2 linked regions of the Caenorhabditis elegans genome follow. The protein of the gene in region 1 purifies or fractionates together with the protein of each later gene. This does not show direct contact. Each region holds a gene or a part of one and is shown on either strand. Other genes may lie near its edges. The genes, in order: sql-1 and trp-4.

Region 1 (5,189 bases):
GTGCTTTGCGAACTCTACACAGAGAACAGAATTCCCATGATATCGGTGGAGGTTTTGAGCGAGATTGCTGCAAAAATTGTCGAAAACTTCGATAATTTGGAGTATGCCACGTCGGCGAGATCTAAGCCAGCTGACAAAGTTCTCTTGACTCCCTCGATCATTTGTTTCTTGCTCAACACTATTGATGACGCGAACGTTTCGAATACAGTCATTGAAAACTGTAAAATGATTCTCAAGGCGATTGGTCAATCCATGAAGCAGCCATTCGATGATGAAGCGAAGAGCTACTTGACTTCTGAGGTTTTGAGAAAATTCCCGTGGCCCGTAGAATTCGCATGTTCAACGTGGTTCAAGTCACTGGAAGTTGAGAAGCGACGCATTCCATCAGCGATCTACAAAGCAGTCAATGGAGCAATTGAGGAGACATTCGACGAAAGAAGCGGAATTTTTGGTCAATCGGACAATAAAGGAGACGCAGAACGATGCTCGTCTCCATCATCTCAATCTTCAGTGAAGACGGCGATATCGATTGGCGATAAATCAGGCACCGCTGTTGATAATTTGAAGATGAATGAGCTGAATCTGAGCCCAATGTCAGCAGAAACTGTAGAAGATGAGAAAAGCTGTAAATCCGCGTTGGTCGCAGAGATATTCGAGGAAATCCCACTGGAAACTGATCAAAACATCTCAGTTTTTGAAGATCCACTCGAAGTTCTCACGGAATACCTCGATTATATCATCACGATGGGAGTGTTCGACGTCTCGTGCGCCAACGAGCTCATGTGTCACAGCTCAGTCACGTTTGAATCCACGGAACAGCTGGAGAAAGTTATGAAGAAGGCGTTTGAGGAGAACTTCGAGATCGCAAAAGCCGGCCCACAGCGTATCAGAGAGATTTGTGCGAAGATTTTGGAGGTAATTTTTTTTTGATTTTTCAATAAAATTAATTTCTGAAAATCGGCCATTTCTGAATTTCTATATTTCCAGGTTTTCGCTCCAAGCTCGTCGGAATCGGACCACGACCGTATCGCTTCTTCGCTCATTGAGGTCATTCCAACAGAAAAATATGAGGACACTGGACCAAGATGCACTCAGGATTTAAAGAAATCGGAAATCATTCAGCCTCTGGTCATCATTCCAGACAAAACATCTATGGAACGCTGGCCGCCAACTGGTAGGAAAATGATACTAAATTATCGATTATTTCGTAAATAATTCTGATTTCTTGCAGAATACCGTTATAAACCAAATGAAATCAATGGATCTCGTAACTCTGCACGACATGAACGTGAAGTTCGCAAGCAAGTTGCATTAACCAAATCTTTGGAAATGGCTCAACTTCATCGCAATTTGTGGGCGGAAAGCGAGAGAAATATGGACCACTGGACCCGACCAGCGTCCCCAGGCAATCGTCCATTTTTTGGCGGATCTCGCATGAACTCGTCCACATCAAGTATGTTTTTAAAAGAAAGCCAATATGTTTTGTTTTAATTATAATTTTTGTAGGAGCGCATGGCAGCTCTACGAACGGGTTCCGTTAAGCCGACTGATCGCCCCTGGAATGTTTAAAACGTTCATTTTATTTTTGTTCTTTTGTTTTCAATTTTTCGTTCCTGATTTTTGTTGTAAAATGTATTTCGCATGGTTTTACCCCTTTTTCACTGAGTTGTGGCCCTAAGTCACCGTATTCTTTTTGTTGTTACCCTCGGAATTTTTTAAATAATTACCCTCGGAATTTTTTAAATAATTTTTCCCGATTTTTTCCTAGGAATATGTTAACGTTGAGGTTTCTTCCTCAACGTGAACATTTTAACTCAATGGTGCTCCATGAGGCCATTTCCTTTTCAATGAATTTTTTAAATTAAAAAAAAACGACAAGATTTGGCCTCTGGTATTTATTTAGAAATATGTTCTGAAACTTTTGTGAATATTGTTAGAGTGTGCAATTGCGCGTCAATTCACGTGTTTTCACACACGACACGCGATAGGAGAGAAACCTGAAGAAAAGATCCACTTTTAATGCGATATTTATCCCTTGATTTTATTGATTTTTGAGAAAAAAACGTTGCTTTTTTCCAGTAATGAGCGGATGGTTACGAAATATTCAAGGACAATTAACAGATTTGGCAAATGAAGTGCTAAATGAGGCGAATGATGTGTTGGCAGAGGCCACAGAAGAAGTTCAAGATCCTGATGGAGAGATTATTGTGAGAATTATTAATTTTAAGTTAAAATTGTTAAAAATTGGAAAAATTCAGTTAAAAAACTCGAATTTTAAATAAAAAATCAATTTTTTAAACCAAAAAAAACTTCCAGGTAGCTAAAAAAAAGGCAGCTGAAGCCGAAAAGCAACTTGCAATCGAAACTTCGCGTGTCGAACTTCTTGGAAACGAAAAGAGCCATTTGGAGCAGCAGCTGTATGATGCTCATGTCGAAATGGACGCGATTGGGGCGAAATTCAACGGAATGGTTAAGCAGAGAGATGATGAGATTAAAAAGTTGAAGGTGCACCTGAAAAAATGGAAAATTTCGCGTTTTTTTGCACAAAATTACCCAAAAAATAGCTAAAATTGGAAACAAATTACCCGAAAAAATCGAATATTGAAGAAAAATAGTTAAAATTGAAAAATTTTGGAGAAAAAAGTATTTTTTTTAGCTCCAAATTGCCCAAAAAATAGCGAAAATTGATAAATTTTGGCGCAAAAAATCGAAAAAGAAGCTCTTTTTTTCTTATATTTAAAAATTTTGGCCAATAAAACTTATTTTTCCGTCTTGCAGCCAGCTTTTAGAGTTGAAAATTAATGAAAAATTCGAGAATTCCCTTAAAAAGTGACTAAAAGTACTTTTATTCTGCAAACGGCATCGTTCAGGCCACTTTTTGAGGTAATTTTCGAAATTTTTCAACGAAAATACATATTTTCCATGTTTCTACATTAATTTTTGATTCAAAATTGCTGTTTTTAATTTTTAAAATCATTTTTTTCTCATTTTTTTCCGTTAATTTTGCAAATAAAAGCGGCGCCGCACAGAAAAAAGGTGGAGCCTAATTTTGCAATTCTGCGGCACGGGCTTTCCACTGATTTTTAAACATTTTTTTAAACATTTATATTTTTTCTAGCAATAAAAACGAAGTTCGAAAAAAATCAATAAAAATGAGGAAAAACCGCGCCGCAAGCTTGCAAAATTAAGCTCCGCCTATTTTTCTGTGCGGCGACGCTGCTTTTTCGTTAAAAAATTCCGAAAAATTCATTTTCTAAGCTTAAAAAGTGCCTATCGATTCAAAATGTAGTTTTCAATTTTTAAAATAATTTTCTCATATTTTCCCGTTAATTTTGCAAAAAAAAGCGGCGCCGCACAGAAAAAAGGCGGAGCCTAATTTCGCAACTCTGCGGCACGGGTTTTTCACTGATTTTTGAAAATTGATTCTTTTTCTAACAATAAAACCGTAATTTGAAAAAAAAATCGTGCCGCAGGCTTGCGAATTAGGCTCCGCCTATTTTTCTGTGCGGCGACGCTGCTTTTTTGTTAAAAAATCCCCAACAATTTTTGCAGACCCAAATGGAGCAACTCCAAGAATCCGGCTGGAATGAGTCTACATCAGATATTGATCAGATTTGTGAGCTCAAAAAGCAAGTTTCACACTGGAAATCACTTGCTGAAGAGAAATCTGGAGACGGCGGCGGCGGCGGTGAAAAAGAAGAAGAAGAAATGATCAAATTATCAGAGTTAGAAAAACGAATCGAAGCTCTCCGGCAACAGAAAGAGCACGAAATTCAGTCACTTGTCGAGTCACACGCTGAAAATGTACTTGAAATGAGAGAAATGTATGAGGAAAAGATTGCCGCAATGCAGGTGAGGATGGAATTTTGGCGGCGGAAAAAGAGAGAAAAATCATCGAGAAGAAATTGTGAATTTGGCTGAAAAATGCTCTTTTTTAAATTAAAAAATTGTTTTTTTTTTGTGATTTTGTGATTTTTAGGCCAAAAAAAAAACAAAAAACAAATTATTTTCGCTTTTCGGTTGAAAAAAAAAATTTTAAAAAAAATTGTCAAAATTAACGGAATTTTTCTATATTTATACCCTAATTATTCTCCGGATTCTGAATATCGATGTGAAAAAATTAAAAAAAAAAAATTGTCAAAATTAACGGAATTTTTCTATATTTATACCCTAATTATTCTCCGGATTCTGAATATCGATGTGAAAAAATTCAAAAAAAAAAATTCCCTGATTTTATATTAATTTTTTTTAATCCGAAAGTTTATTGGCTACCTAGTGTAAAAAATTCAAAATTTAGGCGATAAATTTTGCTAATGAAAAGAAAAAAAATTTATTTTTTTAGAAAAGTCACAAGAATTTCAAATTTCAATGTAAAATAAATATTTAAAAATCCGGAAAATCATTGTGAAAATTTGATTTAAAAAAATAGATTTTAAAAATATTCATCCCATACACACGGTTATCACAAGCGTGGCGTCTCTGGTGGCAAAATTGGTCGTTTGTATTTTTTTTATTAGGTCTCCAAATAAGTTCCGGGTCAAAAATCATAACTTTGTTCGCTGTGTATCGATTTTTATGAAACTGTGGGAATTTATGTTATCAACCATGATCTTTCATTTGACAATAGTCACAAAAGTTTTTGACCACCCCAAGTGCCCTAACTCGGAGCCAATTTTTTCAGGCATTTTTCTGATCTCGGTTCTTTTCAGGTTTCAATTGAGGTTTGTGTGCGGATTTTGCTTTGTTTAAAACACAATGTAAGAAAACAAAAAAAAAGTTTGGAAAAAAATCCGTCCAAAAAAATTTTTTTTGTCGGTCGTCAAGAAATCTTCAAAAAATTTTTTTTCGAAAATTCTCGATTTTTTATACAAAAATGATGTAACCATGTGCAAACTATTTTTACACATACAAAACATTTCAATTTATTGCGTCACACTAAACCAATAACAGAAAACACAGCTTTTTCGAAAAATTTTCGAGTTTTTGGAGTATTTCTCGAGATCCAAATTTCATACTCAAATGTTTTGTATGTGTAAAAATAGTTTGCACATGGTTACATCATTTTTGTATAAAAAATCGAGAATTTTCGAAAAAAAATGTTTTGAAGATTTCTTGACGACCGACAAAAAAAAATTTTTTTGGACGGATTTTTTTCCAAACTTTTTTTTGTTTTCTTACATTGTGTACTA
Region 2 (5,162 bases), on another chromosome or scaffold:
TTTTTTGCTATTCCCCCCTCGCCTTGCTCCAGAGAGCTTCTGCTGACCGGAAATGGTCATTTTAGGGTGTGCACCTGGTCTGTCTCTCTCTTCTACACAACCCCTCCTCACCTCTATTACTTTTGAGAGGGTCCGTGCTCTGCCGACATCACATTCACCACCACCACTAAAGTTGGAAAAAATCACTTTTTTTTGGAGATTTATTATTCTTTTTATAGAAGCCTTTTTGTGGGCGGAGCCTACTTAGGGGCGGAGACTAAAATTCAAATTTTCCTGATAAAACTGTTTGGCGGGAATTCAATTTTCTGAGAATTTTTTTTTTTCAAAAAACTTTAGTGTTTCATACTTTTTTGTGGGCGGAGCCTAACAAGGGAAGTCGAAAAACTGAACCCCGGACTTTGACATGCCATAGTAATTTTTCGATAAAAGAGTGAAAATAATGATCTCTCCAAAAAATTTAGCTGCCCCGGTCCAGGTTCAGCAAAGTTATGACGTTTTGAAAGTGGCTAGACAACCTTTTTAAAAAAATTTTTAAAATTTCAAAAAAAAAACTTTTTTTCTGAAAAGTGGAAAAAATATTTGCAAATAATTGAACTCAGTGAAAAACATATGCCATGAAAGTTTTAGCTCATAACTCTCAAGAAAACCCATAAATTAACCTACAAGAAAAAGTAATTTTTGGAATTTTGCTCAAGATATGTAGATCAAGCAATGTGGTTTTTTGTCCGTGGGAAGAAAAAATGTGCATGATATATGTTTTTTACATTTTTGGATAAGTTACAATAGTTTTTATCAATTTTTGGAAAAAAAATTTTTTTTGAAAATTTGAGTTTTTTTTGCTAGGGTTTTGCTAGGGTCAAGGAATTTTTTTCGGCACTTTCAAAACGTCATAACTTTGCTAAACCTGGACCGGGGCAGCTAAATTTTTTGGAGGGATCATTATTTTCACTCTTTTATCAAAAAAATACTATGTCATGCCAAAGTCCGGGGTTCAGTTTTTCGACTTCCCTTGTAAAATTCAAATTTTTCAGTAAAACATTTTTGCGGAAATTCAAATTTTCTGAGAAATTGTTTAAAAGATAACTTTAGTGTTTTATGCCTTTTTGTGGGCGGATCCCAATTAGGTGCGGAGCCTAACATCCAAATTTTTCAGTAAAATATTTTTGCGAAAATTCGAATTTTCTGAAAAAAGTTTTCTAAATGATAACTTTAGTTTTTTATGTTTTTTTTTTGTGGGCGGAGCCTAAATAGGAGCGGAGCCAAAAATTCTAATTTTTCAGTAAAATAATTTTGGCGGGAAATTCGAATTTTCTGAGAACATTTTTTTAAAAAGATTACTTTAGTGTTTTATGCCTTTTTGTGGGCGGAGCCTAATAAGTCGCCGGAAATTAAAATTTTCTCAAAAAACTAGTTAAAATATATAATTTTAAGAATATTCTTGCTTTAAGTTTTTTTTTGCCGACCTAGAAAAATGTGTCTGTTTGTAGTTTGTAGTCTTTGACGTCACAAGTTGTGTGACGTCACACACCCCACGCCCCTTTTGTGGGGCGGAGTCTGAATAGTTGATACCCCGGGAAATTAAAATGTTCTCTTATAATTTCTTGGCGGGAATTCAAAATTTTGTTTCTAAAAATTTTTGCCGGGAAACTGGAATTTTATGAGAAAAATTTTTTGGCGGGAAGTTCAAATTGTCTCAGAAACATTTTGGCGGATATTCAAATTTAATTTTTTTTTAAATTTTGCCTGGAAATGCAACAGCAATTATTTTTCAAATTTTGGGGAGTTTGAATTTTCGTATATTTTGCAAAATTTTCTCACAGTAATTAAGAATTCTTTGTTTTAAAATTACATCCATCTCCTAGACTACAGTAATCCTACAGTATCCTCACAGTAGATCCTTTTTAAATTTATACCTATTTCCTAAAAAAAATCAATGTTTCCATAGAAACCATTAAAAACTTTTTTACTATAGTATTTCGCAATTCTTTTTTTTTCATTTTTTTAAATCTTTTCCCCCAGCCTCTTCAAAATCTCCAATTTTCAGCAAAATTCCTCGGCTCCTCAAAATAAATCATCATATCTTAATAATACTACTACTATTAATAGCATTATACATTACCCCGGTTATGGATTCGCCACGTGGCGGAATCCTGGGAAGAGCTTTACGAGAAGCATCACAATCGACTAGGCAAGAAAATGATGTTGATATGGATCAGGTACCCGTACGGCAGATGAACAGGGATTACGGTGGATCCAGGAGGACTCAGGTTTGCCTAAGTTTGATATGAAAATAATAAAAAAACAATTTTTTGTTTCTTGAAAAAAAAATTTTTTCGAGCAAAATTTTTTTTCCAAAAAAAAATCTTAGACACTACTAGAAAGTTAAAAGTGTTGAAAACGGGTAAAGCATATATGGAGAATTCAGAAAATCTTGGTTTAACCCGTTAAAAACCATTAGAAAGTGGCAAAAATGGCCAATTTATGGCAAAAATTCACAATTTTGAAACTCCTCTAAAATGGGCAATTTTGCAGTTAGAGGACTAAAATTTGATCTGTAAACACTTAAAAATTTGCCCTTTTTCAGATTATCTAGAGTTTTGAATATTCAAAATCAATTTTTAATCCAAATTCCTGGGGTTTTCGACTAGTTTTTGGGGAGGTTTGTTCGACTGTACCACTTCCCCGTAGAAATTTTAGAAACACAAAGTTCTATGGTATTTTGCACTCACAAGGAGTGAATATTCAAAATTTTTTAATTACTAATATCAATCATGATCACTGAAAATAGTTTTTGGTGAATTTTCAGAGACATCTTGGGTTTGGTTTTTGAGAAATTTTTACCGAAAAGTTTTTACCCAAAATTTTCGATTTTGCACTGAAATTTATGAGATTCTTTGTGTTTTTCAGGGGTGTACTAAGCTTGTATTTTATTACTGAAATTATAGTTAAGAGCATGTTTAGTGAGTTTCAGATGGTTCTGAAGAAAATTCAAATTTTTTTTCGAAAATAAAATTTGAAATTTCTGGTCCAAAATTTTTTATCCAAAAATTTTGCTAAAACATTGTCCTTTTTTAGAATTTGATGGTTTTATACATATTCGAAAAAAACATTTTTTTTTGGCCCAAAACAAAAAAGGACAGTCATTAGATGGCTGAAAAATGAAAATGGGCAAAAATAAAAGTTGTCTAAATTTGTTGAAAACGGGTAATTCATATATGCAGAATTCAGAAAAACTAGGTTTAACCCGTCAAAACCTACGAAAAAGTGGCAAAAATAGCCAATTTATAGCAAAAATTCCCAATTTTGAAACTCCTCTAAACTATTGTCCATAAGAAAAAAAACATTTTACAAAATTTTTGTTAAAAGTCGCTTACTTTGTTAATTAAACTATTGCTCATAAGAAATTACACATAAAAATGTACATTGTTCTCTTAAACTCCTAAAAAATCAGCTGTACTTTTCCTAATTTTCAGTGGAAAATCAAAATTTATTGCAGAACTTCGATCGAATTTTTAGGCGAAATTTTTGTCATTTTTTTTTCAAAAATATTCTCAAAATGTTGTCTTATACTTATTTAGTGAGTTTGAAGAATTCCGAAAAAAAATTTTTTTTTTGGAAATTTGGAATTTTTGGCCAAAATGTTTTTTCCCATCAAATTTGCTGAAACTCAACAATTGTGTTAATCAAACTATTGTCCATAAGAAAATACACATAAAAATGTTCATTGCTCCCTTAAATTCCAAAAAAAATAACCGTAATTTTCGAATTTTTAGTGGAAATTCAAAATTTACAGCAAAAACCCTAAATTTCTAGCTTAAAAATGATGTAGATTTTTTTTATAAAGTTATCAAAAACATGCAGAAAATGTCCTTTTCCAGAAAACATATTTAAATTATTTGAGGGTACCAGGGCTCCAAAGTTGTGTCGGTTTTCGTGAGCAGTACTCATTTTTGCTCCAAAGCTTGAAATCTTCTCTTTTTTTTAGTGTCAAATTCAAATTTTCTGCACTTGCACCAAAACCGATTACTAATCCCCAAAAAACACAATACCTACTCGCTTCCAGAAAAAAGTGCTCAATTTCCTTTTTTCCAGTATCTTTGGGTTCATAAGACCTCCCAAAAGAGTAGTATAAGTACACATGACCACACCAAACATCGTATCTCTTAATATACACATTTTTTGGGTATTGGCAACACATACACAAAAAAAAAGAAAAAAGGTCCGGAAATCTCAGGCCGTGTATTTCTTTGAAAAACGGATACGAGAGCAACCTGGGGGGACAGAGGTACATGAATAATTGCTTCAAGACATAGCTACACACAAAGAATGAGAAGAAGAGAAAGTAGTATATTACTTTAAATGGAACATTAGAGAGGATATTTGGAAATTGTTAGGGGTCGGGAATCCAGAATTGCAGGAAGTTAGGTCACATTACAAAGTACACTAATTATTTCTCATGAAATTAAAAATATTAAATTTGGAATTTCCTTTGATACAGCAACCCACACAATCAGTAATAAAAATTAAAAATTAAAAAAAAAAATTTTGTCGAAAAAAAATTTTTTGATCATTTTTTGAAACAACTTCGAAAGCTTATCTCTCAGTTGTTTGTGGTGTTTTCAAAAAGTTGTCAACTGGTAAAATATGTATTTTTACATTTACTATAACTTTGTAGTTAAAATCTTTTTGATATCTTTGATTTTAACCGAGATATCATGCGCCAAAGTAAGCATAAAAAACATAGTGCATCGACTGGTAATACACCACTTAACTTTATAGGCTCATATCTCAATTGCCGTTGGTTTTATAAGAAAGCTTTCAACTGACAAAACATTTATCATTAAATTTTTGTTAACATTGTAGTTAAAAACTTTTTGATATCTTTAATTTAAACCAAGATACCATTTGCCAAAGAGAAGATATCAAACATGGTGCATCGACCGGAAGCACACTACTTAACTTTATCGGTTCATATCTCAGTTTTCAATTGTTTTATCAATAAATTGGCAATTAACAAAATATGTAAATTTAAATTGTCTACAAACTTGTAATTTACGGTAAATCGATATCTTCAATACTAACCGAGACATAAGACAATTTACTGAAAACTAAAAAAAATGATAGTACCTACGATTTTTGGATTTCTCCTGAAATTCCAATTT

The links.
Region 2: the proteins of sql-1 (region 1) and trp-4 fractionate together in Caenorhabditis elegans (co-fractionation; one large-scale study listed by BioGRID). This does not show direct contact.

The regions. Positions count from the first base shown.
Region 1 is NC_003281.10:12,497,482-12,502,670, forward strand, and holds the start of sql-1 (GRIP domain-containing protein), read left to right. Parts: upstream 1-2,075; 5' UTR 2,076-2,081; coding exon 2,082-2,207; intron 2,208-2,316; coding exon 2,317-2,505; intron 2,506-3,552; coding exon 3,553-3,852; intron 3,853-5,189. Other genes in the region: herd-1 (Edg1 TPR repeats region domain-containing protein), read left to right, coding at 1-915, 988-1,174, 1,232-1,453, 1,507-1,541.
Region 2 is NC_003279.8:13,897,043-13,902,204, forward strand, and holds the start of trp-4 (Ion transport domain-containing protein), read left to right. Parts: upstream 1-2,042; 5' UTR 2,043-2,126; coding exon 2,127-2,267; intron 2,268-5,162.